4 linked regions of the Tamandua tetradactyla genome follow. The protein of the gene in region 2 interacts with the protein of the main gene of each other region in a biochemical or structural test. Links are inferred from orthologs where the notes say so. Each region holds a gene or a part of one and is shown on either strand. Other genes may lie near its edges. The genes, in order: PRKCZ, RELA, SETD7 and CEBPB.

What was found.
Region 1: of the proteins of RELA (region 2) and PRKCZ, one has a biochemical effect on the other in vitro, tested with the Homo sapiens proteins (2 studies listed by BioGRID). The link is inferred for Tamandua tetradactyla from reciprocal best matches to the Homo sapiens genes RELA and PRKCZ.
Region 3: of the proteins of RELA (region 2) and SETD7, one has a biochemical effect on the other in vitro, tested with the Homo sapiens proteins (3 studies listed by BioGRID and IntAct, with this or other methods). The link is inferred for Tamandua tetradactyla from reciprocal best matches to the Homo sapiens genes RELA and SETD7.
Region 4: the proteins of RELA (region 2) and CEBPB form a complex in vitro, tested with the Homo sapiens proteins (2 studies listed by BioGRID). The link is inferred for Tamandua tetradactyla from reciprocal best matches to the Homo sapiens genes RELA and CEBPB.

The regions. Positions count from the first base shown.
Region 1 is NC_135328.1:222,906,032-222,912,874, forward strand, and holds the start of PRKCZ (protein kinase C zeta type), read right to left. Parts: upstream 3,005-6,843; 5' UTR 2,937-3,004; coding exon 2,890-2,936; intron 1-2,889. UniProt on the Homo sapiens protein: Calcium- and diacylglycerol-independent serine/threonine-protein kinase that functions in phosphatidylinositol 3-kinase (PI3K) pathway and mitogen-activated protein (MAP) kinase cascade, and is involved in NF-kappa-B activation, mitogenic signaling, cell proliferation, cell polarity, inflammatory response and maintenance of long-term potentiation (LTP).
Region 2 is NC_135335.1:8,858,757-8,866,355, reverse strand, and holds the start of RELA (transcription factor p65), read right to left. Parts: upstream 3,018-7,599; 5' UTR 2,928-3,017; coding exon 2,921-2,927; intron 2,351-2,920; coding exon 2,324-2,350; intron 2,229-2,323; coding exon 2,074-2,228; intron 1,911-2,073; coding exon 1,762-1,910; intron 949-1,761; coding exon 857-948; intron 513-856; coding exon 381-512; intron 1-380. UniProt on the Homo sapiens protein: NF-kappa-B is a pleiotropic transcription factor present in almost all cell types and is the endpoint of a series of signal transduction events that are initiated by a vast array of stimuli related to many biological processes such as inflammation, immunity, differentiation, cell growth, tumorigenesis and apoptosis.
Region 3 is NC_135348.1:28,466,783-28,474,304, forward strand, and holds the start of SETD7 (histone-lysine N-methyltransferase SETD7), read left to right. Parts: upstream 1-4,509; 5' UTR 4,510-4,718; coding exon 4,719-4,758; intron 4,759-7,522. UniProt on the Homo sapiens protein: Histone methyltransferase that specifically monomethylates 'Lys-4' of histone H3. H3 'Lys-4' methylation represents a specific tag for epigenetic transcriptional activation.
Region 4 is NC_135327.1:2,604,232-2,611,400, forward strand, and holds CEBPB (CCAAT/enhancer-binding protein beta), read right to left. Parts: upstream 2,415-7,169; 5' UTR 2,139-2,414; coding exon 1,083-2,138; 3' UTR 511-1,082; downstream 1-510. UniProt on the Homo sapiens protein: Important transcription factor regulating the expression of genes involved in immune and inflammatory responses. Also plays a significant role in adipogenesis, as well as in the gluconeogenic pathway, liver regeneration, and hematopoiesis.

The sequences.
Region 1 (6,843 bases), on a different chromosome or scaffold from region 2:
TTGGCAAAACTCACCCTTAAACCTCTACCCCTGCAAAGCTCACCCCTAGGTCACTCCCCCATGGTGCCTGGGCTATGCCACCCAGCTCTGAAGGGGACATGAGGTGCCACCCCCAACAGCACGGCTCCCACTCCAGGGACAGCAGCGAGACAGAAACTTCACTCTCCCAACCCACCTGCCTCGCCAACGGCCCTCAGGGCACGTGTGCACAGCCGGAGAATCCGAAGCACTGAGGGGGGTGGGCTCCCCAATATGGGGCGGCAAGGGGCCCCATATCCTCAGAGCAGGTGACCCCCCCAAAACAGCCCCCTGGGATGGCAAGAAGGGGGTGCACTTAGTGGGCTACGCAGGAGATGGGTGCACGACACCATCCAACATGTGGGCGAGGCTGGCCGCCCCCACAGGCCCGTGCAGACACGGCCCCACCAGCGGACCACCAGCCCCTCCTCACACACCTCCCCCCTGCAACCTGCTCCTCCCACCACCACCCCAAGGTCCAGGTCAAAGGGCACTTCCCTGCTCTTACCTGCAGCCTCTTCTCTGAGTGACCACCTGGACACCTCCGGAGGGCCAGCAATGGTCACCTCGGGCTCAGCCCACTCTGGGAAACGGCTCTGCCAGCACCTCTGATGGCGTGACCATGACTTCCAGCCCAGACAAGTCGGGGTACCTCCAGCTCCACGGCCCCACAGCCTAACACTTCCACCGTGCAGGCCAATGGTCCCACAGCCTAACATTTCCACCCTGCAGGCCAATGGCCCCACCCCCCGAGGCATTCTGCCACTCTTACCCCTGCGGTCAGCAGCCAGGAGGCTCCCCACTCAGGCCCCACACGGCACAGCAAACACCACCCCACGGGGCCCTTGTGCCTGCTGCCCCTTCCCTGTCTGCTCTACCAGTCACTGGCCCCTGGGCGGCGACGCTGGGGCAGCTGCAGCTCTATTGAGGCCTGCTGAGCAGACAGGAGCTCTGTCGAGGCGCGGGCGCCTGTAGGCCCCCCACTGCCACAGGTCACAGCACCCACCCTGGCTGCGGCGAGGTCTTCACGCAGAGGGGCCCTTGGGGAAAGTTCCAGAACAGAACTTTTCTGCACAGGGTGAGAGCCAGCCAGCGGCCATTCCTGGGATGCGGGGACGCTGAGGAGCTGGCCCCAAGGTGCTGGACAAAGCAGGCCCTCCCCCTGGGCAGGTGGTGGACACCCTGCACCCCTTCCCACCCCCGTCAGCCTCTGTGGGAGCGGGCACAAAGCCCATGAAACACAGGAGGGGCCCTCGCCCGTGGGGTGCTAGAGAAACCCCGTCTTTGCTTTTGTCTGAAAGGTCCAGTGACCATGCCTCCGGGCAGCGAGTGTCCTCTCAGGGGTGGCCTCTGAGCGCTGGGATTTCACCAGCCCCACCCCCACCCCGATTTCACCAAGCCCTAGTCTTGGGGGGCCCTTCAGGAATGGCCATGGTGGACTGGGTCTCCTGGGGGCCCAGTCCCGAGCTTCCAGGCACTCCCAGGGAGGGGCTGGGCTTAGAGAAGGTCCCTCCGTGGGCCAGAGGGGCTGGAGTGGCAGAAGGGAGGGAGTCAGAGGGGAAGGGAAGGGTGGGGTGGAGGCAGGAGGGGAGGGGAAGAGGAGTGGGGGCTGGGCAATGGCGGGAAGAGGGAGGAAGAGGAAAGGTGGAGGGAAGGAAGGGGGGAGCGGCCTTATCAGGAGTGAAACTGGAGGCAGCAGGTTGTATTACATCTGTGCTGCCAGTAACCAAAACGCTCCCTCGGGGACCAGGAGGTGGGGACTCCCCATCCCCCCAGCACCCTCGGATCTTCCCCTGAGCCCCCCCTTCTGACCTCCAACTTCCACCTGACCCCCACTGCTTGGCGCTGGAGGTACCTGCTAGATTCCTCTTGGGGGTCAGCTGGAGGGTCCCCACACCCCAGGCAGGGGGTTTCAAATGCCACTTGTGCAATTTGGAGGTGGCCCCTCCCAGCTGGGGCGCCAGCAAGTAGCGGCACTGTGGGGGCGCAGAAAGCCAAGATGTTCTGCACCCCTGAACCCCAGCCCACACCCCACACACCCCTCCTCCCTCGGGGTCCACCACTGACTCCCCCAACCACGGGTCTGCAGGGGACCTAGGAGCAGGCACCCAAGGCTGCAGATGCTGTGCTCATGGGGTGGAGCCCGAACCCGCCTCCGGGAGGGAAGGGGTGGGGGGCGCTGCCCTGGAGGAGCCGCGGCCTCGCGAGGCGGCCGCCCCCCACACCGTGCCCCCACAGGTGCTGAACCAACGGGGAGCGCCAGGTCCCAGCCGGGGTTCCAGCCGTCCTCGGCGCTGTCTGCACCCGCGGGCGGCGAGAGCGGGAGTCCCGCGCTCTACCCGGGAGCCCCGTCATCTGGTCACGAGCCCCCTCCACCCACCCCGGGCTCGCGGCCCTGAGACCAGCGACGGTAAGAGTCCAGGCTCCCGACCACTGCACCCCGGGAGGTGCCCACTCGCCCCATTCACAGACAGGGAGATGGAAGCCCGGGCGCGCTTCTCCCTCAAGACTCCGGGACCGGCCCAGCTCCCCGGGGCCCTCCCCCCCGGCCCCCGCCGCAGCGGCCTGGCGCGGCTTCTCCCTCTCAGCGGAGCGCCCTAGCCGGGCGAGAGGGCGAAAGTTGAGAAACTCGCTTCTTCTCCAGCTGCCAAAGTTTGCCCAGCTCCATGGAGCTGCGTCCCCCGGTCCCGCGACCTCCCTCCCGGCCGCGCTGCCAGGACCTGCGTCAGCGGCGACCCCGGTCCGCCCGCCCCGCCCCCGGCCCCGGCCCCGGCCCCGGCCCGGCCCGGCCGCCCGCAGGCTCGCGCGGCCCCTCCCGGCGAGGGCGCGTCGGGCTCCCGGGGACGCGGAGGGCCGGCCGGGCGCGCTCACCCGCTGTAGTGCGCCTTCAGGCGGACGCGCCCGCCGCTCCCGTCCATCTTGGGGCCCGGCCTGCTGGGCGTGGCGCGCTCGGCCAGGCCGTCCTTCAGGGCCGCGTCCCGGACGCGCGGGCCCACGGCGCGGACACCTGCCGGACACCTGCCGGACACCTGGCGGGACACCTGACGGGGCCGGGGCGGAACGCGGCGGGGAGCGCGCGGGTGACCCGCGCCGGCCCGGCCAACTCCGCGCGAACTTGGGCAGCGGGGCGGGGCCCGGAGAGCGTGCGGCCAATAGGCGGGGCGCGGCGCAGCCGGGCGGGAGGGGGCAGCACCTGCGGCCAATGAGGGCGCCGGCGGGGCAGCCACCTGGGCCAATCCCCGACGGGACCCCGCGGGCGCGGCCCAATCGCCGTGGCGCGGGGCGGACTACCTGTCGGGCCGCCGCCGCCTCACCTGCGGCCAATGGGAGTGCTAGGCGCCCGGCTCTGTGGAGCAACGCGGGGGCGCGGGCGGGGTCTCGGGCGGGGTCTCGGGGTTCCCCGCGCTCGCCTTGTGCGGGAAGCGGGCTGGCGGCAGCGGCCCTCAAGGTGGAATGCGAATTCCCGGGCTCCCCCGTCCGCTAGCCAGTCCCGAAGGCCCAGGGAACCGACCCCGACGGCGCTGGACCCCGGCGTCGAGCCGCTCATCGTCCACGGGCGGGAATCGGGCGCGCAGCGAAGCCCCCGGGCCCGGCGACGACCTGAGGCAGAGGGGACTGGATGGCTCGGCCAGGTTCGGGCTGGGCGGGTCTCCCGGGCGCGGCCCCCCCACACGTCGACCTCCAGAATCCCGGAGCCCGTTGCAGGGAAGGCTTATCTGCGCCCGCCGGGCAAGGTTGACCCCGAAACGCGGACCCCCCAAAGCCTTGGGGTCACCCTTAACTCCGCCACCCGTTACACCCCGTCCTCGGCGTCAGCCCCGCCGGCCCAGCTTGAAGAGATCCCGGGATCCAGCCCCTGCCGCCACCCGCTGACCCGCGCTTGCACCGACCTGCAGCAGCCCCCAAGTGTGCTGCCCTCAGCGTGGGTCAGGGGGCCTCCAGGATGCCCGCGTCTCCAGAGGTGACACCCCTGGCCCTGCAGGCGCCCGGGCTCTTGTCTCTCCTCCGCAGCTTCCCCACCTTCTTGCTGCCCCCACCCCTGCCCCCTTGCCTCTGCTGTTCCCTCTGCCAGGAGCGTCTCCCCGTCGGCTCCAGGAGGCTGCTGCCCACACTTCTGGGGGGTCTGTACCCCACCTTCCTGCCAGAGCATGGTGGCTGTCCTCTCAGGGCACCCACAGTTAGTGGGGTGGAGGGGAGCAGAGAGTTACTGAGTGAGGGGCAGTGTGCCAAGGGCACAGGGATGAACAGCGAGCAGCTGCGTGTGCTGGCCAGGGGTGCTGCCACTGCCAGGCAGGCCACCCAGCTTGCCCCTGACTGGGATGGGGAGGAGCAGCGCCACACTCGCTGGGGTGGGAGGTGGGCCGTGGGTTCCCGGTCACTGGCTTCAGCCGGCACCTCCCCACCTGCCAGGGGGGACCTCTGGCCTTGAAGCTGGTCCCCAGGCACCACCAGCCCCCATCACAGCAGGGGAGGGCTGGAGCAGGCCCCTCACCCCCCCTGCTAGCTGGTTTAGGGGGCCCCCCCGGGCTGAGTTTAAAGGGGAGTCCACACCTGAGCACCACAGCAGAAGGTTGAGGGACCCCGAAGCCTCTCTTCCGTGCGGGGGTCAGGGCAGGGCAGGGAGACGAGACTCCTTTCTGGGCGGGAGGCTCCCCTTCCCTTCCCCCATCCTGATATCTTCTGGCTTGAGGCCCCCTGTGGCCCCTATGCCTCCCCTGGCCATGTCCGGCCCAGAGCCTGGGTGGGGTGGGACGCTGCGCCCCACAGCTCTGGCAGGGGGGCTGGGTGGGTCGCGGGGGGTAGGGTGCACCTGGATGAGCTCCCTGCGGGCTGGAGGTGCCTCCCCACCCTTCCCTCTGGCCCCCTCCTCCTGCTGCAACCAACAGGGTTTGGTAATGAAGCCCCCACGGCCCCCCCCAGAGGGACCCAGGGTGAAGCCCAGGATGGATGGGCCACAAGCTGGCTGCTGGGGGGCAGGCCGCTGTGATTGCCTCCCCTCCTCGGTGCCCACACCCCAAAACCGAGCCTCCTGCCCTGTTGGAGGGGGGTGCCCGTCCCCTCCCTCCCCCTCGCCTCCCACCCCGCCCCAGAGCCTGTCAGATGGCATCGCGGGCCCATGCCCAGGCTGTGAGGTAATGGCCGGCCTCCCGGCCCTGGCCCAGGGTGACCCTTGGACCCGGGGAGGCGGGACAGGGGTGCGAGGGTGGGGCGCCAGGGGCGGAGGCTCTCTGCTCTCACGCTCTCAAGCCCTGTGCTCCTGTGTTTTCCAGTCTGTCCTTAAAGACCTCGTGCTTTCCGAGCCACAAACGCCCATTATTTCAAAACAGAAAAAAGGCATCCTTCTTTTTTAAGGGTTGTAAAAGTGGCACAAGCTGATCGTGCAGCTTCACCACCTGGGAGGCTTAGACAGGAAGCCCCCTGCCGCCCTCCCCTCCTGGCATGCCGGACCACCGGGGGTCCTTTCCTGTCCCGCCCAGCCCGGCCCGGCCCTTCCTGGAGGTGCAGGGCTGGAGCGGAGGGGTGGGGGAAGGTGTGCCCTCCCCCCACGGGCCTTGGCGTGCCCTCACAGGGCTCACCTTCAGCTCTTCTCTGGGGGGGCCCTCCAGGGACCCCGCGATCCTTCAGGCGAGAGGGTCGCTGGGCCTCCCTGGGGGCTTCCAGTGTCCCTCCCTGTACGGGGTCCGCCCCCCGCCCCCTGGCCCGGCGCTTCGGGGTGCGGCTCTGCCAGAGGGCCCAGCGAGGACCCCGTGGGCCGCAGGCCCGAGCCAAGGCACAGGAAGAGCCCAGAACCGCCGCTGAGCAGTCTCTGGCCCGGGCGCGGGTGGGAGCAGATGTTTCCTCTCTGTCATGATCACGGGCTGGCGCGGGCAGCCCAAGTGACCGCTCACACTCGTCCCTTCGTCATCTCCGTGGGGGGGCTGGTGGAAGAGTCACCCATTTTGGGGCCGGCTGAGAGCCAGCACGTCCCAGGGAGACATAGAGCCACGGCTGGGCCACGTGTGGGGAGCCCCGGAGGGCACTGCGGCGGGGCAGAGAGGCTGTGCAGGCCTGTGTCCCTCCTGGGGGTGGCCAAGGGACAGAGGAAGGCCCCACCCTCCTCGTGGCAGGGGTCCTGCTTGGTGGGAGGCGGGAGAGGAAGGTCGGGGCCTCGGGGCTCCGGGTGTGTGTGTGTGTGTGTGTGTGCACATTTGTGTGTGTCTGTGTGTATCCATATGTGTGGGTGTTTCTGTGTGTGTGTTGGTGTGTGTGCGCATCTGTGTTTCTGTGTGTGCATTTGTGTGTCCCTGTGTACACATCAGTGTGTCTGTGTGTTTCTGTGTGTGTGTAGATGTGTACCTACTGCACATCAGTGTGTACTGTGTGCTTGTCTGTGTGTACCTGTGTGTGCATCAGTGTGTGTATGTCTGTGTGTGTGTCTGTGTGTATGTATGTGTGTATATGTGTGTATCTATATTTGTGTGTGTCAGTGCATACCTGTGTGCATGTCTGTGTGTTTGTGTGTCTGTGCACGTCTGTGTGTGTCTGCACGTCGGTGTGTGTCTGTGTGCATGTCTGTGTGTGTGTGTGTCGGTGTGTACCTGTGTGTGCGCACGCATCTGTGTGTGTCTGTGTGTACACTGGTGTATACCTATGTGTGCATCTGTGTGTGTATGTGTGTCAGTGTGTACCTGTGTGTGCATCCGTGTGTGTCTGTGTGTGTTGGAGTGTACCTGTTTGTGCATCTGTGTGTGTCTGTGTGCATGTGGTGTGTATCGTGTGCATGTGTGCCAGTTTCTAGGTTGTCTCCTCTGGGCTCCAGGCCTGTGAAGGTCACAGGCTTCCTTC
Region 2 (7,599 bases):
ATCCTCGGAAGTCATGCCCCATGTTGGCAGGAAGATTTTTACCCCGAAATGCCTAGCCTGTTTTCATAGATGGAATACCAACCCCGTCCACACACATATATCCCCTTACCAGTGGGAGCAGAGCCTGTCCCCTCCAGCCCCTCATCACAGGATACTGAAAATGCATCTGACTCCCTGCCAGGCCTGGAAGCTGCACCCTGAGGGCAGCTCCAGGTCTCCTCTGCCGTGTCTCCTAGCCAGCCCCCAGTGGGGCACAGAGATGACAAATGCACCCGTTGACAGACAGAAGCCCGAGCTCCATCCCAGGCTGTACCCACCCCAACCTTCTTCCTCCTCCCCAGACCCATCTCTCCCTTGCCCACAGCTCCCTGGTGACTCACGGTTGTCAAAGATGGGATGGGAGAGGACGGGCGGCAGGCGGAGTGGCCTGCCTGCCGGGTCCCGCACTGTCACCTGGAAGCAGAGCCGCACAGCATTCAGGTCGTAGTCCCCTCGCTGCTCTTCTATGGGGACTGCAGAAAAGCAGGTGGTCAGGAGAGCCGGGGGACAGGGCTGGGGACAGGGAGCTCTCGGCGGGGAGGGCTGATCAGGGGCATGGGAAATAGGAGGAGGAACTCAGAGGAGTAGGAAGAGAAGGTTCTAGACCCATCACTGGCTCTACCTGTCACCCTGATGCCATGCCCCTCAGTGCTCCCAGTGGTAAAATGGGAGTGTGCACTGAACGGGCAGCGACATCCCGTGCATCCTGTGAGTCTTGGCCAATGAGGGAGAAAGGCAGGGAAGGTGGCCTCAGGAAGGTAATGGAGGGTAGGGGTGCTCCAAACAAGCCCTTGGCCTTCGCACCCTTACCCCTTACCTTGGAAGGGGTTATTGTTGGTCTGGATGCGCTGGCTGATAGCTTGCTCCAGGTCTCGTTTCTTCACGCATTGGATCCCAAGGTTCTGAAAGCTGAGTCCCCGCCCCGGTATCAGTCCTACTGTCTCCAGCAGAGTCTAGACCCTCCTGCCTTATTCAGTGTGCCCCCCACTCCCAACCAGACCATCTCTCTGTGGTCCAACGGCTTCCCATCGTGCTGCAGTAAAAACCACACTCCTGACCTCAGGCTTGACAAGCCCCGTGGTACCTGGCCCCTGCCTAGCTCCTCCAGCCTCAGGGGTCCCTTTTCTGTCTCTACAAACACACTCAACTCATTCCCACTTCAAAGCCTTTGCACTCGTTCTTTCTGCTTGGAATGTTCTCTCCCTGCTTCAGTTTTTTTCTCATCATCAAAGTCTTAGCCCAGAGAGGCCTTGCCTGACTTCCAATCCAAAGAAATAACCCCTGCCCCAGGTTATTCTTCACAGCCAATTACTTCGTTTTATTTTCATCATTGAAATGATCACTCTAACACTATCTTGCTTATTTATTTGTATATTTATTTACAGCCTGTCTCTGTCTCCTGGTATGTGAGCTCCAGGGGAGATGGCTGGTTTGTGGTTTTTCTTTCTCAGCACAAGCAGTGTAACACCAAGGGACCTGCTCTTTCAGCCACAGAGATGATTAGGGCCCCATTCCTGCCCCAAGGAGCCCACATCTGCTGGAGGAATGAACCCACAAAAATATTTTCAAGACAAAGCAAGTCTGCTTTGCAGACCTGGGGACAGAGAAAGGAATAAGGAATTCTGCCCTGTGTATAGAAAGGAGTGAGACTGTCACAGCTACACGAGACCCTCCCATCTTCCCGTCATCGCCTCCTACTCCCAGGTCCTGCGGGGAGTTCACCTGTGGATGCAGCGGTCCGGGCAGAGCTCAGCCTCATAGAAGCCATCTCGGCAGTCCTTCCCCACAAGCTCGTGGGGGTGAGGCCGGTGAGGGGGATCCTTGGTAACCAGGGAGATGCGAACTGTCCCTGGCCCTGTGTAGCCATTGATCTGTCCAAAGTACAGAGAGCACCTAGAGGCCCAAGAATTCCAATCCCACCTCCCAGACACAGAGGGCACAGAGGCCTGAAGGGAGACCACTTCCGCAGCCTCTCCCTAGCGCCCAATCTGTGTTCCCCACTCCACTTCTGGGAACCAGTGGCTGGCTGCTGACCTTGATGGTGGGGTGGGTCTTTGTGGTGTCCGTGCTCCGCTCGCCTGGGATACTGCCCGCTGAGCGGCCCTCGCACTTGTAGCGGAAGCGCATGCCCCGCTGCTTGGGCTGCTCAATGATCTCCACATAGGGACCAGAGGCCTGGACTGGCTCTGCTGGGGAGATGCAGGCCACTGTCCCCACTGCCCCTCACCCTCTCCCCCCCTGCCAACCCCCACCTGGAACCATTGAGAAAGGACAGTATACTTACCTGAGGGGAAGATGAGGGGGAACAAGTCTGAAAGGGGAGGGAGACAAGGGTCAGCAAGCCACTTCCCATCCTCACCAGGTTCCCCTGGAGTGAAACTGAGTCAGGGCCTGCTTTCTAGACTCTGTAGGGAGACTATGGGGTGGGGTGAAGAGGTCCAGAGACATTTGTTTCCTGAGGGAAAACTAGGTACGGTGTCCTCCTTTGACTAAGGGAAACTAAGTCAAGGCCTTCTCTACTTTCATAACCAAAATTAAGAGGATGCACTCCCCCACCCCTCTTCCTGAAAGGAAACCTGAGTCAGCTACATTCTCCTCTAACAGGTAAACTAAGTCAGCGCTGCCCCCATGGACCCTGGGGGGAACCTGTGTCAGGGCCCCGCACACCCACCCCCACCCCCACCCAAGACGGAAACTGAGTCCAGCCCCCCCCTTCCACCCAGAGGGGAAACTGAGTCAGGCCCCTTCACGCCCGGCCCGCCCCGCGTCACCATCCGGCCGGGCCGCTCCCTGCGTGGCACCCGCCCGCGCAGGAATGGGGGCCAGGGGGGCACGGAGACTCCCACCGCGGGGCCCCCGCGGGGTCAGAGGGCGCCCTCACCGTCCATGGCCGGGGTCCCGGGGGCGGGGCCGGGGTCGCAGCTGGGCCCGCGGCGCGCGCGCTACAGCCGAGCCATTCGCCAGAGGCGGAAATGCGCCGCGCGCGCCCGCCGCCGCGTCACTGCCCGGAATCCGGCCGCGCCTGCGCGCTACGTCACCGCCGCCCCGCGCGGGGGCCCGGGAGCCGGGTGCGCGCCTACCGGGGGGCGAGGAGGCCGCGCGCCGCCGCCGCCGCCGCCGCCGCCGCGCCGCGCCGAGACCCGGGTCCGAGAGGCTTCCCGGGGAGGGCGCGGCCGCTCCGCTCGCTCCCGAGTCCCGGCCCCGCCTGGAGGGCGGCCGGGCGATTACTCACGCTGTTTTTTAGGGGATTTCGGGGCCCCCCTCCCGCCGCTCGGGGGAGGGCGGTGATGTCACCGCGCCCGGCCTGGAGCGCGGCCAGGGCTGCAGGGCTGCGGCCGCCCGTCCCGCGCCGGGAAAGGCCCGGGCCTGCTCGGCCCCCGAGGCGCGCGCTGGACTTGACCCGCGCGGCCCCTGAGCACCCAAGGTGCCTCTCGGGGGTTGTACCTGCAGAGGCACCTGCTAAGTTCCTGTCCACCCCAAGCAGAGGCAGTGGAGGGAAAGGAGAGTGGCCGGGCTCCCCCACCCCACGGGCCGGGACCCCGGGGCGCCCAGGGGGCAACTGAGGCGCCGAGGGTCGCGTCGCCTCCCGCGGGCGGCCGCGGTCGAGTTAGGCCAGGGCTAGTCGCTTCTCCGGCTCAAGTGCCTCGGGGACGATGAGTGGGCGGGAGACGCCCGGAGCAGGCTGCCTAAGTCCCCGGGGGTCCCCTCGCACCCGTAGGGGCCCGCCTGCCTTCCCAGAGCTCCCAGCTTGGGGGCAGCTCAGCCATCAGTCAAGCCATGCCATTGTCATGCCATCGCCCCCCTCCAAGTCCAGGCCCAAAGCGCATCCTTGCAGGGAGGGGAAGGGGCTGGGGTTGGGGCGCCCTCCCCACCCCCCAGGTCCTCCCTCGCCCCCCCGTCCCAGATTGAGGACGTTCCAAAGCAGGCGGTGGAGCCTTCTCCAGATGGAGAAAAACTTATTTTCTTTAAATGGGTTCTAAATTCGGGAATCATTTGGGAATTGAAAAAGACTGGAAATTCTGACTTGCTTTCCCAGGCTCTGAAAAAACAGGAAGAGAAAAGTGAAAATGAAGTTGCCACCCCTCCCACTCATTTCGGTTTCTCTTGCGTCCCTGATTAGAAAAGTCTGTTTTTTTTTGTTTTGATTTTTTTTTTTTTTTGCGGAGGCAGATTTCAGGTTGAAGAATGGATGAATTATAATCTTTACTTAATGACATGCAATCATCATTGATTTAGGCATGATCTTTTATTTGATTTTTATATATTTATACTTTTAAAAATAGTACAGTGAAAACCATCATAAAGGATTCCATGCATTAGAATAACTTTCCAGAAACCTACAACCTTCAAATGGGTCCCTGGACCAGATAAATCCTGAAACCTAGCTAGAGGGCCCAGTTCAAATAGAGTCAAGAGGCTACTCTGGAAGTGGTTCTTACACAAGCTTCAGGTAGACCTGCCAACCCCCAGCCAGGACCATTTCAGCCAATCCTAAAGAACACCCAGGGCAATTTATAAGATTCCACAATGGTTCCATGCACTAGAGGAACTTTCCAGAAATCTAGAACCTCCAGGTGGGTCCCTGGTCCAATTAAGTCCTGAAACCTAGCCCAGCCTCTCCAGAACGTCAGATAGTTCCATCTCCCTACCCCACATTAGTGACAGACCCTTCCAATAGCAAAAATTTAGAATTGCCCTAGCCCAAACACCCCTAAAGAGAGGTATGGAAAGATCAAAGGTGATGGTGGAATTATACATAGAAGATAGGATTTAACAAATGAATATGAGTGATGAATCATTAAACTGATATCTATTTTAGTCTCCAGTATTTTATTTTTGCATGGGCAGGCACCGGGAATCTCCAGTATTTTAGAGCAGCTAGAATTGAAAACCTAAAATTGTGAAATTATAACCCGTGTCAAAGTCTGAAATATGTTCTATAACTAATTGTGGTGCTGTGCTTTGAAATTGATAGCTTTTTCGTATATATGTTATTTTTCCCAAAAAAAAGAAGGAAAAAAAGTCGATTGTGATGATAAAAAAGTATTTAAGCTCTCTAGCCGCCTATATTCTGGAGCAGCTAGAAGGAAAAAATCTGAGAGGATGGTACGGTAGCCCATGAAAAACTCTGGGGTCTCTCCTGTAATCCCTTGTTGAAGAGTGCTTTGAAAACTACTGCTTTTTATTTCTTTACTTGGTATATATGTTATAGTACACAATAAAAAAAAGTTTAAAAAGTGTGACGTAACTATATGCTTTTTACAACAGATCACCTTAAATTCAAAGGCATGAGTAGGTTGAAAGTGAAAGTATGCAAATAATAATTATTCCATGCAAATAATAATCAAATGAGGGGCAACCAAATCAATAGGAGAGCCCTCGATCTTGGGGTGCATCCCTATGAAAACTATTCCTGCAAAGGGTAGGCTAAACCTGCTTAAAATTAGGCCTAAGAATCATCCCCAGAGAACCTCTTTAGTTGCTCAAATGTGGCCGCTTTCTCTAAGCCAACTCAGCAGGTGAACTCACTACCCTCCCCTCTACATGGGACATGACTCCCAGGAGTGTAAATCTCCCTGGCAATATGGGACAGAAATCTCAGAATAAGCCAGGGCCCGACAGCAATGGATTGAGTAAGCCTCCTTGACCAAAAGGGGGAAGAGAGAAATGAGATAAAGTTTCAGTAGCTGAGAGATTTCAAACTGAGTCGAGAGGTTATCCTGGAGGTTATTCTTACACATTATATAGCTATCCCTTTTTAGTTTATGGTGTATTGGGCAGGCACTGAGAAAGGCTTGTTTGGATGCTTTTAATAAACAAACTATTAAATAAAGTCTCATGAGGCAACAGGCTAAATTTGAACGCTGGCCCGGCATTTGATGATAATAAATGATTGTTATTAATATTATTTTAGGTGTGATAATAACATAGTAGTCTTTTTTCCCAAGAGTCCTGGGATATAGTTCAAAAATAATCCCTGAAATGGAGATTTCCTGGGAGTGGGGGTGGGGCTGTCAGCAAAAAGGTAACAGGAGCAGCCATGAATTCTAAACTATTGTAATTGGATGATGAATCCATGGAAACTTGTTATGCTATTCTCAAACTCTCGTGTGTATTTACATTTTATACTAAAAAGTTGTCTTTTTTTTTTTAATGACACCTTAAGGAGAGTGAAAAGTCAAGCTATGAGCTGGGAGATAATATTTGCAGCACAAGCACCTGTCGAAGGCTTGGTGTAAAGAATGCCTACAAATCGAAATAAAAAGACAGCCTAATGGTAAAATGAGGCAAAGGCATAAACAGACATTTTACAGAAGAGGAAACACAAAGGGCTAATAAACATATGGGAAGTTTGTCAAACTCACTAGTAATATGGAAATGCAAATTAAGATTGCACCCAGATTCCATTTTACAACCATTTGATTAAAATGAAGTCTGACAATAAATCTTGGAGACAATGTCAAGTGGAGGAGGTCTGGTACCACATTGCTACTGGAAGTGTAACTTGGTATCCGCATTGTAGCATTAGCTTGTATCATTGGCTATTTGCATATTCCAGGACCCAGGAAGTCCCTTTTAGGTATACACCCAAGAGAAACTCTTGGATATATAGACAACAGGAGACAATCCCAGGAATGTTCTTAGCAACACTGTTTATAATAGCAAAGCACCGCAAACCTGAGCGCCTATCCTCAGGGTGAATAGATTCACAAGCTGTGGTATAGCTCCGTAACAGAATAGTATACAGTCATGAAAAGGGAATGAACTATGAAACGCATAAATCTTAGTCCCATAAGACTGAATGAAAAAAGTACATAAACAAAGGGAAACATATAATATGGTGCCCTCTTCATAAAAATAAAAGTTAGCAAGCCCAAACAATGTAATATAGACATGCATATATAAATGGATATTTTTTCTTTAAAAACATAATCAAGAGAATAATAAATACAGAATTCTGCACGGGCATAAAGAAGGCAGGTACAGGTGATGAGCAGGGGGTTAGGTATAAGTCACAGGGGAGTGTATCTATGCTCTCGAGGTCTGCAGCAGCTACACTGGTTTTCTTTTTCTTTCTTTCTTTCTTTTTTTTTTTTTTTAACTTTTTTATTGTATAGTATAACATACATACAAAGCAAAGAAATAAAAAAGCAATAGTTTTCAAAGCACTCTTTAACAAGTAGTTACAAGACAGACCCCAGAGTTTGTCATGAGCTATAATATGATCCTCTCAGATTTTTCCTTCTAGCTGCTCCAGAATATAGGAGGCTAGAAGGCATAAATATTTTTTTTAGCATTACAATCGACTTTTTTTTTTATGAAAAATAACGTATGTACAAAAAAGCAATAAATTTCAAAGCACAGCACTACAATTAGTTGCAGAACATATTCAGAGTTAGGTTTGGGTTACAATTCCAATATTTTAGGTTCTTCCTTCTAGCTGCTCTAAGATACTGGAGACTAAAACATATATCAATGTAATGAGTCAGCATTCATATTCATTTGTTAATTCCTATATTCTCTGTATAACTCCACCATCACCTTTGATCTTTCCATACC
Region 3 (7,522 bases), on a different chromosome or scaffold from region 2:
AGAGTCACCCCCAGAGAACTTCTTTTGTTGCTCAGATGTGACCTCTTTCTTCAAGCTGACATGGCAAGTGAACTCACTGCCCTCCCCCCACCCCTACATGGGACATGACTCCCAGGGGTGTAACTCTCCCTGGCAATGTGGGACAGAAATCCCAGGATGAGCCAGAACCTGGCATCAAGGGATTGAGAAAACCTTCTTGACCAAAAGGGAAAAGAGAAAAATGAGAAGAAATAAAAGTGTCAGTGGCTGAGAGATTGCAAACAGAATCAAGAGGTTATTCTTATGCATTATATAAATATCCCTTTTTAGTTTATGGCATATTAGAGTGGCTAGAGGGAAGTACTAGAGGGAAGTACCTGAAACTGTTGCGCTGTTTTCCAGTAGCCTTGTTTCTTGAAGACGATTGTATTGTGATAAAGCTTTTACAATGTGACTGTGTGATTCTGAAAACCTTGTGCCTGATGTTCCTTTTACCTAGGGTATGGACAGATGAGTTAAAAATACGGATAAAAATAAACAAACAATACTGGGAACAAAGGTTAAAATAAATTGGGTAGATGGAAATACTAGTAGTCAATAAGAGGGAAGAGTAAGAGGTATGGTATGTATGAGTTTTTTCTTTTTTCTGTTTTATTTCTTTTTCTGGACTGATGCAAATGCTCTAAAAATTGGTCATGGTGAAGAATACGCAACTATGTGATGATATTGTGAGCCACTGATTGTACACCATGTTTGGAAAACAAGCAACGTTGGCATGTTAAGATCTATCAGTAAAAATATTTTTTTAAAAAACTGAGATGATCCAGTTTGCCAGAGTTGCCCTGGAGTCTTCCCCTTTCCTCTGTCTATACATGGACCCTGGGGCTCTTCATGCTCCATTTAGCTTTTCCCCAGGAAAGGTGGACAGAGAAAGTTTGGGCTTAGAAAGTATGTAGCCCAACCTCGTCATTTACAGATGGGAAAACTAAGGCCTAGAGAGCTTAACTGCCCAATGCACAGCTAGTGTTTGGTGGAACCCAAACAGATAAGGTGAAAACTCAAACTGGTGAATTTGGGGAATGGGGAGAAGCTGGCTAAGAAGTGAGCAGTGCCAAAATAAGAATTGATGCTTATTTAAAAGTTCCTTCATCCATTTTGCCTCGTCTCCTTAATGGAGATGTGAGCAAACGGAACAAACCAAAACCTGAACACCAGCCGCTGATCTACCAGTTACCTGGGGGGGGGAGCCCCCCGAGACTCCCTTTGGCTGAGCCCCTGGCGAGTACTTCCTCCTGGAAACACGAAACCCGGAAGTCTGCCCGGCCCCCTCCCGCCCCTACCAGTAGTGCAGAATGAGGGGTCAGTAGCAGCCAACACTAACGGAGAAGTTCTACACCCACCAGGTTTCTGCAATGTACTTAATATACACAGCGATAAGCTGACAGAATTGTTTCCCCTAAACGTAGGAAGGCGCATATCCAGCCTGTAAAAACATATTTACCACAAGAGTTATATCAGTCTTGTAAGTAAGCACCAGCCTTCTCCAGGGAAAGACAAGGGTGGTAAAATGAATGAAATCAACTTAGTATTTTGACTGCTTGCTGTGGGCGAAGGGGGACTTACGTTTCCCAAATAGAGTGTGAAGAGAGGGGACACATCTTTCGATGCAGGGACGCTAAGCCGAGGCAGCTTGGAAAAGTCACTGCTCGGTGTGTGCATGGAGGCACGCCCACCCCCAGGAGTTCCTGGACGTCCTGTGCAGGTGCCTTTTCTCCCTGGCAGGGCCTGTTCTGGCACACTGGGATATGCCGGGGTTAGGGGCTGAGCCACCGCTGCGGCCACCGCTGCGCCACTGCCGTACATTGCTGCTGATTAAGAGTTTTATTGATTTTCCAGCCCATGACCACACTGGTGGGGACAGACGATGACAGAGGGAAATGGTGGGAAGCCAAGTGGAAAGAGGGTTTATGAAATGAGCTGTCAATGAAGAAAACTGTGGGAAAGAATGTGATGGAAGCCAATCTGGGGCCAGTCGATGTGGGAAAGTAGAACAACTCAGAAATGTTCCTCAGGCTTGAGCTGAAACAAAGCGCTCTGCCAAAACACAGGAAGAGAAACCGGTCTGTGAGAAAGATTCAGCTCTGTTTATATAAAACAGAATATTCCTATCTGCTGAATCCTCACTGACAGTGCTTAACTCTCTCTCTGTACCAGGCACTGGATTGGGTTCTGGAGCTATAAATAAGACTCAGTCTAGAGAGAGAGATTGAAAATGCAGACGCAAAGTGATTTGTAAAAATGCAAGTGTGTCTTAAGGAAGTCATGAAAACATTGTGCCTAAGCTTTGGGCAGGGAGCCAGCAGGAAGGAATGGTGAGGGAAGTAATTCTTGCCATGGCCCACTCTCCCAGGAAGACCTCAATCCCCGTCTCCCTCTGCAGATCCAGCGGTGGCCTGCTTCAGCCAGGAGGGCCATATACAGGTGTTTCCAAAGCGGTAAGTAAAAGGGAACACTTGGCCAATCGAACACACAGTACCTGCTGGGAAAACCTCACAGCACCTAGGAGGGGTTGCACAACTTGCCTCTGAACCTAAATATGGAGGCAGGATGCTTGTGACATAATAATCGCTCCACGCCGACCCCACCATGGGCCGGATGCTCTGTGGTGCAACTGCGTGTTTGGAGGGAGATTTCTTCCAACCTACCGTCCCCTTGCCTTGGCCTCCTTGAAGAAAGGAATTCTTTTTGCTGCTTCCTTTAGCTTTTGGCATCTTCTTTGCCCCTGAAAATAAACTGGAAACTTAGGGAGAAAGACGAGCGTCTGCTGGGTTTTTGCACACAAGTGTAATACATAAGGGAGAGGTGATAAATACACGCGGAACTTCAGACAGTGTCGCCTAATGCAGAGGGCTTCAGAGCCGTCTAGCTAAAACCAGCCAATCTCAGATTAGTCTAACCTAAGCCAAAGGACCTCAGAGTGGTATACCCTAAGCTGGAGGGAGCTCACGGGGGTGGGGGGGGGTGGGGGGGGTGGACGCTAAGCCTCTTACTTCCTGCGGGAGGAATTCAGGCTGGCAAGGGTGGACCCCCTGGTCCAGGGCCCTTCCCTGTCTTTCTAACACAGCCAAAAGGGACTGAAATGCCTAGCCGTGCATGGGGACAAAAGTCCTCGGCATTATTCCCTTTTTCACAGAGAAAAGAATGAATTCAAACAAAACAAAAATACGCAATACTCCATTTAAAAAAACAGAACAAACAAAACTGTGATTTAAGCAGAGAGCTAAAAGCAAGGCGTGGTCTTCCACGTGCTGGAAGTATTTTGAAATCCCCAAAGTCTCACTCATCCTCCAGAAAACAAAATGGAACTTTCTTTCTTTGCTCTCCCACCTCCCTCCCTGCGCCCCTGCGGTAGCTGTGCTGGCAGATGCCCAGAGCTGCACGCTGGGATTCCACGGTACACTGCGTACATTTGCACCCATTTAACCAGCTATTTACGGCCGCCCTTTACCGCCACCTTTCCAAGACAGCGCCATAATGACATTGTCGTTATGAAGCGGGTGCCCACTGGTCTTCTCCATTGAAGACGCCCCAGCCTGCGGGGTGGTTGACACTTGGGAGAGACAGTTGGGGCCATCACCCGTACCGCGAGGGCCACGAGGGGGGCGGGCGCGGGAGCCGGAGGGTCCTTCCTCGTTAGCTCCGCCGGGCGGTCCATCTTCCATCCCCACCGCGGCGGGGAGGCACCTGCCCGCGCGGCGGCTTGTTTCCTGCCTGGAAGAGACCCCACTGCCCTTTGGGTTGGACGCGCCTCCGAATCATCCGAGGCGCTCGGGGGTCCCGAGGAGGGCGGGGCCTGGCCGGGATGGGGTGGTCCCCGCAGGCCGGCGGAGTCGCTCCGGATGGCACCCGCTCCAGTCTGGGGAGCAGTGTCGTGGGACACCTGCCCTGCCGAGCGTGCAGCCCTCGCGCGGCTCCGAGGGCAAATGGGGTGAAGTGGGGGGAGAGGGCGAGAGGAAGTCGAGGCGCCAGAGCGTCCGAAACGCTTCCTTTGTTTCCCCTGCGTTTCGGAGGCTGTCCCGAGGTGGGGGGCGGCGGGCACCCCTTGCACGGCCAACTTCCAACCTGGCCCCCTGCTCCGGCTGGGGGTCCGGAGCTCTAAGCGCCCCCGAGGGCGGGGACCCGGAGGGCCGCACGTGCAGGGGAGAAGCCCGCGGCGCCCAGGACCGCGTGGCGCGCTCGGAGCTCGCCAAGTCGCGCAGAAGCCAAAGGCAGACGCCGAGGGGCCCGGGGCTCGGCCCGGCGGCGCAGGGGGAGCGGCCCGCGAGCGCCTCGGGTCTCCAGGAGCCTTACTTCTGGGAAGGGACCGGGAACCGTCAATCAGCGAGGGAGGGAGCGCACCGGCGCGAGGTGATGTCAGCGGATCAGCTGCTCGCTAACAAAGAGGGGGGATCGCAGGAGAAAGTTGCAGCAGCGGCAGCGGCCGCAGCGGCACCCCGGGGCCTCGAGGGCGAGGGGCCAGCGGGCGAAGGGAGGGGGGACGGTTGCTGCCGCAGCAGCTGAAGGCCAAGAAATTGAAAGGGCTGTAGGGGGAGGGAGTGCCAGCCAGCCCGACTGCTCCTCCTCTTCCTCCTCCTCCAAACTCGCAGGGCTCGGCCCCAGCGCTCGCTCAGCCGCCGGGAGCACCGGGAGGGACGGGCGGCAGCCGCGCGACCCCGAGCTGGCCAGGGTCCCCAGTCGCCATGGATAGCGACGACGAGATGGTGGAGGAGGCGGTGGAAGGTACAAGCCTTTCTCCGAGGCTGGGGAACACGCAGCGGGAGGAGTGACGGGCTGCGGCCGGCGCGGCACCGGGCCCCGCGGCTGCCGCGGTTCGCTCGGCGGGTGGCCCGCTGCCCGGCTCGGGCGGGGGCCGGACAGCCACGGCCGAGCCGCCGGGAGCGCGCGCTGCGCGGCGGGGCGCGGCAGGCGCAGGCCGGGCCCGGGACTCGGCCGGGCCGGGGCCCCCCTGGGAGGGCACGGCTGCTCCCTCCCGCCCGGCGGCCGCAGCCTGCAGTCGCCTCGGAGTTGCGAAAACCTGCCGAGCGCTCTCCCCTGGCTTCCTCCTTTCGCGTCTGGGGGGCGGGAGGGGGGGCGTTGAGGGTGCGCAGGAAGGGCCCCCCAAGAGCGGTGGTCCCCGCCGAGCAATCCCACTGCCCCGTTTAGGACGGCGGCGAGCCTCGCAGGTGGCCAGCCCTTTCCTTCCGCTCGCCCCCACGCCCCGCAGCGGCCGCGGCCGGGTCGGGTCCCCTGGCGCAGCGCACTGGGTCGGGCCAGGCACGTGGCAGCCCCGGCCAGGGCGGGCGCTCCTCGGGGAAGATGAAATCATCGCAAGGCAAGGGACGGCGGGCCCGACCCGGGGCTCGATCGCGCGCGGGCCGGGAGGCGACCGGCCCTTCCCCTCTGCTGCCCCGAGCGCGAACCCGGGCCAGCCGCCCCTCCCCCGCCTGCTTCCCAACCCCGGGCGGCCGCGCCGTGCAGGCGCGTCTCAAGCCCAGACCGAAATTGCTGGGTGACACTTAACTTTCTGAATTCCATGCAGTTGGCTGTGTGTGATATCACTGCCTCGGTGTCGTGTTTCTCCGCCCCTTCCCTTCCTGCGCCCCTCCCCCGACTTTTCTCGCCACTTTGTTTTGCTGAGTTTCTCCACCTCTTTTTGGCCGGTTCTGAAATCCTTGTGGAACGTTATACAATCTCGTTGTTTGTGTCGTGAGCTGTTAGGATTTTGTAACAGCGAATATTGGAAAATACTCTTTAGCCTATTTATTTGGTTCTACCCCAGACAGGACGTCGTGATGTTTTGCAATGTTGTGTGGTATTATTCCAGAATATTTTAAACTAGGCGTCTAAGCAAATAATTTTTAGCTATCGGCTGTATCTGGCTTCTGTCTAATCTGTGTAAACAAGTAAAGAAAAACAAACAGTAAAGAAAAACAAAGTGGCGACATTGTGCTAATACACACGAGTACATAGTTGTTTCCTCATTGAGAGTAAATCGATTTTTATGTTTTTATATAAGATAATTGAACTCCTTTTGCAGTGTTTCCTAGGTCTTAGGATGAAATTAAGTAGAATAATATTTCTGAATTCTCTAAAAGATGTCATTCTAATGTAACTATTAAAATTTCTTACTTCATCTAGCTTCCAGGACAACTTAAAGAATTTTTTAATTAAAAAGATTCACAATGCTGTGAATCCACAGAGCTATTTACCTCTCTAATAAATAAAGTGAATGTGGGCGTTTATTGGGTGGCAGAGACATTGAATTGACCCATAGGAAGCCTTATTAGAATCTAAAAGTTATTGGCTTCTTGTGCCTCCCTGATAGGAAAGAAAAATGAAAAAGGCTCTTCTCAAGTTGTAAGGGTTTGCTGTCCTTGGAAGTTTAATTTTACTTGTGAAAATGTAATGTAAACCCTTGGGCACTGGAGATGCTCCCCAGGCTAAACCATCTTCCCCTTTGAAGCTGTTTAGAAACAAAGTCAAGTTGTCCCAGGGTCCTCTGCCTCATTTGCAGAATGTAATCTTAGAAATGTAGCCTTAGAAATGTAGCATTGTTGTTGCTGAGATTGTCCAGTGGATTGGAAGGTTCTTACTAGTTACATAGAGGGACCATATATATAATTGTCCAAATTAGAACATTCAAAAAAAAAAAGAAATTAAAAAACAAACAAAAACAAATTGAGAATGAGAGAGGCGCTATGAATGATTATGCTGGGACAACGAGGTAGAGCTTGAATGTGGGGGCAGTCTGGGACACGTGGTCACTCAGCTGTGCCTCCCTGTAATAATATAATGACAAGTGTAACACAGAGTCTTTGAGAGTCCTTGGGAGACCCTCAAGCTCCAGCATGCAGTAAACTGTACCCCCCAACTTTTTCTCCAGCCACTCTTGGGCTTTTTACTGCTGGGTATAATGCACTTTACTTCTCACCAACTGACACGTGCATGGGGGAATGTTGTAAACTACTTGTTCCTTTTTCCTAAAGAGAACCTAGTCTGAAGATGTTGCTGTGTAAGTACCACGTAGCCTACCTCTCTCCGTGAACAGAACCTCTGTTCTCAGTAGAGAACATACTAAACAGAATCTCTGTTCATTGTCGTAGCTATTATTATCAATAAAATAATTATATTATTGTTTAGTTCTTATGATGTGCAGTCTCAGTGTGGTTTCACACATTTTCTGTCCGGTTACTATTATGAGATGGGCACTAATAGGATCCTAATTTTACAGAGAGGGAACCAGACCATAGAGAAGTTAAGAACTAATCCAAGGGCACTCAGCTAGGAGACAAGACAAGCTTGGAGCTTCCAGAATTTCATTGCACCATACCAGTTGTCTCTCTACATTATAAAAATTTTAATGGGCGAGTCAAGTATATGAAAGAGATGGTACCTGAGTTTGGAAGAGCAGTTAAATATTACACCAGTTTCATTATCACTGTAACTCTTTAGAGGTTGGTTATGATAGAGTTCCGTGAGAAAAGATTTGAATAAACACAGTTTT
Region 4 (7,169 bases), on a different chromosome or scaffold from region 2:
ACAAATTTTCAAACAGCGCACCCCACAGCACCTTCAAAGTCTGCCCCTTCCTCCTGCAGCCACTGGCCGCCTGCCCCGCCTCCAGACAGTGTGTGGGCCACAGACCTCAAGGACCCCCCCAAACCCAGGTTTGCTGCCCAGGACCAAGTTGACTCCCCAGAGACCCACCCCACCCCACCCCCCAAGCAGGGCTCCTAGCCACGGGTCCTCAGCACCCAGGGGCACTGAGTCACTCCAAAATGCCTGACCCAGCACTCCTCCCCCAGGCCGGCGCCCCCATCTCCAAGCACAGACCTTGGGGTGCAGCAGGGGAGGAGAAACCCCAGCTGCCACACCCACACCCAACCTCCAAGAAGCCAAAAATAACATCAGCAGCCCCCTACACGCACACAAGGACGCCCCCACAGCAGCAAAGCACAAAGCCAAATCAAATAAACCCACAAGAAAGATCAAAACGTGAATAATAATCCAAAACCAACTACTGCCCCCAAAAGGCTTTTTCAACTCGTCTCCAAAAAAAAAAGTTTATTAAAAGTGTCTTACTTAATGCTTGAAACGGAAAAGATTCCCAAAATATACAGACGCCTCTTTTCTCATAGAAATAGAATTATTTTTTTTTTATAATACAAAAAAAAGGCCAAAAAAATAAACAAACCAACCAACAAACATCAACAACCCCGTAGGAACATCTTTAAGCGATTACTCAGGCCCGGCTGACAGTTGCACGTGGGTTGCGTCAGTCCGCGGACACACGCCTTCAGCCATGTTTAGGGCGATTGCATCAACTCCGGAGCCGCGGGAGAAGCAGAGTTTCTCGTTCATCCGGACACACGGACGTCTCCCCTTCCAGGAGGGCCGGGGGGCGGGCGCCCCGTCTGGGGGGCGGTCGCTTTGGCCAAAAAAAAAAAAAAAAAAATAGAGAGAGCTAGATATAATAAACTAGTAAAACGACCGGCGGCTCCCCGCGCTGCCCAGCGCCCCAGTGCCAAAGTTCTGCCGGCGCCGCCCGGAGCGGGGGCGGGCGCGCGGGCGCTTCCCGGAGGCGCGAGGCTGGCGGCGGGGGGCCGCGCGCGGGGGCCGCGCTAGCAGTGGCCGGAGGAGGCGAGCAGGGGCTCGGGCAGCTGCTTGAACAAGTTCCGCAGGGTGCTGAGCTCGCGCGACAGCTGCTCCACCTTCTTCTGGAGCCGCTCGTTCTCGGCCGTGAGCTCCAGGACCTTGTGCTGCGTCTCCAGGTTGCGCATCTTGGCCTTGTCGCGGCTCTTGCGCACGGCGATGTTGTTGCGCTCGCGCCGGATCTTGTACTCGTCGCTGTGCTTGTCTACGGTCTTCTTGGCCTTGCTCTTGACCTGCGAGGACGCCGGCGCGGCCCCCGGGTAACAGGCCGCCGGGGGCGCCTTGGCGTCGGCGGGGCTCGGCGTGCCGGGCGGGCTGGACGACGAGGACGTGGAAAGGCTCCCACTGCTGCCGCTTGGCACCGCCTGGTAGCCGAGGTAGGCGCGCAGCGCGTACGGGAAGCCCGCCGCCATGCCTGCGGCGCCGCCGCCCGGCGCTCCGGCCTCCTCCTTCCGCTTGCAGTCCGCGGGCTCGAAGCCCGGCTCCGCCTTGAGTTCGGCGGGCGGCGGCGGTGGCGGTGGCGGCGGCGGCGGCGGGTGCAGGGGCGCGAAGCAGCCGGGGTGCAGCGCGCTCTTGGCGGCCCCCAGGCGCCCCAGGCTCACGTAGCCGTACTCGGCAGCCTTCTTGCAGTTCTTGCCCCCGTAGTCGTCGGAGAAGAGGTCGGAGAGGAAGTCGTGGTGCTGCCCGGAGGAGGCGGGCGCGGAGGCGGGCGCGGGCGGAGCCGCCTCGAAGGTGTCGGTGGCCGTGGCCGGCGCCGAGGCCTGCGGCGCGCCCAGCGGCTCCAGGTACGGACTGAAGTCGATGGCGCGCTCGTGGTCGCCGATGCTGCCCAGCTCGCCGGCGGGGGGGCGCGGCCCGGGCCTGGCCGCGGAGGGCGCGGGGGGCGCCGCGGAGGCCGCCTTGACGCCGTACGCAGCAGCCAAGCAGTCCGACTCGTAGTAGAAATTGGCCACTTCCATGGATTTAAAGGCGGGCGGCGGCGGCAGCGGGAGACATGCTGGGTCCCAGGCCACCAGGCGTTGCATGAACGCGGGTGCCGGGGGAGGGGGCCCGGGGCTGCCCGCTCCGGCCGGCCCGCAGGTGGCGCGGCCTCCCGGTTCCGAGCTGCCGCCGCTGTCGCTGCTACCGCCGCTGCCGGGGTGGCCGCTACTGGTGTGGGGGCTGGCGCCTGGACCCTCGGATGGGTCCCCTTCCCAGTCCCGTGCTCGGCTCTGACTCGCTAAAGTTTCTCCCGAGCCCGGTTATTTATAAGGCGGCCCATGGCAACGGCTGCGTCACGCCTGGCGGCCGCCCCGGCCCCTCCCGCCGCCGCCGGGACGCGGAGGCCACCGCCGCAGCCGCCCGAGACCCCCGGGAGGGCAGCGGCGGGGCGCGGCGGCCCGACCTGGGGCCGGGCACGCCCCTTCGGGGGGCTCCCGGCCGCGGGGGGCGGCCTCGCCCCCTGCCCACCCGGACCCCGCGGCCCCGCGATTGGGAGCGAGACGGGGCGGCGCGATCCCGCCCCCGGACCGCCCCCTCCGGGCCGAAGGCCACGCTAGAGGGGGGCGGAATCCGGGGAGGGGGCGCCGGGAGCGTCTTCCCCCGCTACAAACGCGGCGGCCGCCTGCCCCCTGCCGGGAGACACCGCGGCCTCAGGCTCGCCCGCGCGCTGCTGCGGAGGAGCGCGCCCCGCCGGCCCCGGAGACCTCGAACCCCGCTCGGGCCCTGGAGAGGCGCCCCCTCTCCACCGCCCTTCCCCGGGCGCCTCCCCGCCCCCCAACCTGCTCCCCCCGCCCCCCGCCCCGGCCCCGGCCGCGGGAAGGAGCCGGGGCTCGCGCCGGTGGCTGCTGCTCGCGGCACTGCGGCTGCTAGGACCCGGCTGGTGGGGTCCCCCCAGCCCCGCCCACTCCACCTTCCCGTCCCGGGATACTCCACCTCCACCTGGGTACTGGGGAGGGGGTGCAGGGGATGCTGTGCCACACACTGAGTGACCTTGGAAGAGTCGCTTCCCTTCTCTGAGCTGTCCTTTCTTTGATTAATTGTATTGTCCCCACCCCAGAGTCCCCAAGATAAGGCTGCTCTGAGCCCCAGAGCGGACACCAAGAGGGGAAGCCCGGAGGGGGCGTGGCACGTGTCGAGCCCCCAGCCTCTTGTCCCCCATTCACCCCCTAACAAGGGCCCCCCCGTCCAGCGCCCTAAGACCTTTTTGCCAATCCCAGAGGCCCAAAAGCCACTGGTTCTGAGGCTGGGGGTGGCGGTGGTGATCAGGTCGGGCCTCGCTGTGGGCCACGTGGGATGGAGCGGGGTCTCTCCGCATTTTCAGGGTGCGCCTGGTCTGGCGTTCACATTTTCACCCAAGAACCCTGGGGGAGGGCGCTTTGCTGCCCCCACTCCACAGTTGGAGAGGTGGTCCCGGCGGGGTGCCCCACTGAGGGGCTCAGGGGCCCCTCACCCTCACTGACCCTACTTCTGGGCCTACCCCCTGCCTCTCCCAATCCCTGCCGCCCCAGCAGAAGCTCGGCCTGCCTGGGGCTGACCCCCGTCCCACTGACCCCAGCCCTGGCCCAGCGGCGGGCATTGCTCAACTTTAGGCGTTATCTGCTGAGCTGAGTGACCTCCGCCCCCTAGAGCTGGAGAAATGACATCTCTGAGCGCCCTTGGCGGGTGGGGGAGGGGGTGAAACATGGGCCTGCTGGCTCCCTGTGCCTTCCCAGCAGCCTCTGAGCCAGGGAGGGATCCAAGGCCCCGCGGCTGGCGGTGGTTTCCCCAGAGCCGCCCAGCCAGGCTCCTGAGTGCAAATTGGTACACTCAGGCTCAGCTTAGGGCCACCGCCTCCGAGAGGCCCTCCCTGCTGCATCCCCTGGTAACCTTTCACAGCCCTTAACTCCAGCCGCCATTATCCTAGTAGCCTATTTACTGGTCTTCCTGGATCTTCCTCCACCCCCACCCCCCCACCCCCACCCCCACCCCCCCTCCCCCAAGACTGTCTGCAGGCAGTGGCAGCTTTGGCTCCTGGGCCCAGCATGCTCAATACTGCCCCATGAGTGAGGGCTTCTGCCACGTTCTCTGGAACCTAGAACACTGTTGCCCAGCTCTGCCCAAGGCAGTTCCTTCTTATTTTCAGGTCCCACCTCAAAGTCACCTCTGAAAAGCCCTCCCTGACTTCCTGGTCCAAAGCCCCCACCTCTCATCACTCCTCTCACCCCTTCCTGTTTCATTTCCTTCACCATTCTGGTTACCTTCAAAATTCTCTCACCTGCCCATCGTGCTTTCTGTCCCCGCCACCTCCTCCCCATGGCAGCCCCCTGCAGACCAGGGACTTTTGTCTTTTGGGTCACTGCTGTCCCCCAGTGTCTAGAACCATGCCGGGCACACAGTAGGTGCCTAAGAAATGCAAATGAATGAATGAAGGGGACTGAGAAGAAGCAGGGGCCTCCACTGGCCGGGCAGGGTGGCATGTGGCAGGGGCTCCTCTCTCAGACCCCTGGCCCTCAGGGTTCTGGGGAGGTGCGGGGCCTGGAAGGCCTCCAGCTGGTTGGAGGTTTACTGTGTGTCCTCAGGCCAATCTGCTGCCCTCTCAGAACCACGTTTTAGGCTCCTTGCATATACTGGCTCATTTAATTGTCCCCATAATTTGTAGGATGCAGGTTGACAGAAGGGAACACCTCCAGTTAACAGAAGGGAAACTGAGGCCCAGCAAAGCTAAGGGTGCCTATTCAGGGTCACATGAAAGGGTGGGAAATGCTGCAGTCTTTCCAGTCTCACCTTCCCCTTGGGTTTGTAGTAAGCTGTAACAGGTTGCATGATGCGAGCCCCATTTTCTGGATGGAAAAACCAAGGCCGAGAAGGGTGACCCAGGGTCACACAGAGAGTTAGGGGGCAACCTGGGGACCAGCCCCAAAGCACTGGACTCAGCCCTCTCGGGTTTCTTAGCCCGCTGGCCTCCGTGAAAAACTTCACCACCAAAGCCCTTGTTCCCTGCCTCCCCCACCCACGCCGCTGAACTCGTGGCAGCTCCCACCGGGTCGAGCCTGCCCTGCGGGTGCCCTGGTCAGCTACACCACCGCACCGCTCCACTGGTCCCCCAGGAACGGGGGGCAGGAGGACCCCCACCGGCACCCACCAGGGTGGCTGTGGGGCCGGGGGACCCAGGTGGAGCCCCCCCAGCGCCCTGCCCAGCTGCGCCCTGCACCGGCTTTGTGGGCAGCCATGGCCCACCTCAACCCTGTCCGTCAGGCCCCGCGGTGGGTGCTGGTGTTTTGTGTTTCTTAGTGGATTTGTGGCCAACATTTAAAGTCCAGCAGACCTCACATCAAAATTCAAATTTCCAGCTACACTTTTAAAAGCAGAAGTTGTGGGCAGGGCCCCACGGACGCCCGCCTGACGGCCTCCACTGCCTTGAGACCCCTCCCCCCACTCCCTTGGCTCCATTTTCAGGGGGAAAAGACCGAGGCTGCTGACCCAAGGGGACCGGCCGTAGCTGTGAGGGAGAAGGGGAAAGGGTTTGCAAGGGGCTCGGACATCAGCAGGGGGGTGCGGGATGCAGCTGGGGGGGTTGCCGCTAGCTAGGGGCTCAGTGGGGCTGGGGCTGGTGGGCGGGGCCCTTCCCTACGCGGCACCTTGGCCAGGCCTGGTGTCCCCTCCGGGCCTCGTCCCTCACCTGCACGGGGGCTCGCTGTCCTCTGCTGGACCTTGGGCCTGCCGCCCGCGTGGCCAAATCAGATCTCTAACCCCCAGAGGTCACAAACAGGTACTGGGGACGCAGGCAGAGGTCAGGGAGGCCCCAGGATCGCGAAGGCTGATCCCCTGATTCTAGTGTCCGTGATTTTCCCCCACCATGCTCATCTCTGCGGCCTCAGTTTCCCCATCTGCCAAGCGGGGTTCCCTCCCTGAGGGCGGCGAAGCAGCCAGCGAGACGTGCCTGGGTGCGTGCTGCCCCCGGGTGGCCGCCTCCGGAACTGCAGGGGCGGCGTGCCGGCTCCGTCGCCGGGGCCTGGGTCAGAGTCAGTCCAGCGGGTGACCGATGCCCACAAATGGGCCACTGAAGAAATGAACATGCCCACCGGACACAGGCGAGGGGCCCCTGAAATGTGGCCAGCACATTGCATTTAATTTTTATGAACTTGACCTTAGCCTCGTGGTCCGGGCTGAGTCCGGCCAGCACGTCTAGAACAGTCTCTAAGGTCTGTCGTTAAGCGGGTAGAGCCAAGAGCAGGCTGTTTGACGATACAGATACTCCCACGGGAAGGGGCACGAGAAACTGGCACCAGTGGAGGCCTAGGGCTGGGGTGCTCTGGATATTGTGTAAAAAGACACCCCAAAACTTAGGGGCTTGAAGCAACAACTAGTTCACGTGCTCCTGGCCCATGGGCAGGCACTGGGACAGGGCACAGCGGAAGCGGCTCCTCTCTGCGCCGTGGGGTCTGCAGGCGGGAACACCCAAGGGGGCTTCTTCGTCCCAGGCGTGGCATCCACGCAGGACAGCTCCACAGCTGACACTGCCTGGTCGCACATCTACATCGGCTCCTTGGCTCCTCGGTTCTCCTTTCCCACGGGGAGTTTCTTCCTCGCCACGTGGCTTCACCTGCAGCCCCTGCACATGTGGTGTCTCCACAGGAATCTCTCACATGGCCTCTCCATAGGGACTCACGTGGCCTCTGCACTGGTGCTTCTGCATGTGGTGTCTCTGTATGGACTTCACGTGGCCTCTTCTTATGGCTCTCTGAGTGCTCTCTCCATGTGACCACAGCACGTGGTCTCCTGGCCACTGTACACCTTACATAGCAGCTGACATCCCCCAGAGCACAGGAGCAGAAGCTTCCAGGCTTTCTGAAGGCTTAAGCCTAAAACACGCAGCCCCACCTCTGTCCCATTCTGTTGGTCGAGGGGAGGGGCTGCACATGTGGTTACCTGGGGGCCGAGGCTGGGCGGGAGGGAGACCTGCAACCCCTTATGATGGGGGAGGTCACCATGGACACGTTGGACGTCGCTGTCCGTTGGAGTCCAGGAAGCTGTCTGCCGCAGCCTTGTGTCCACACCTCTGCTTCGGGTCATCCCCCCGTAACGGCCTGCCTTTC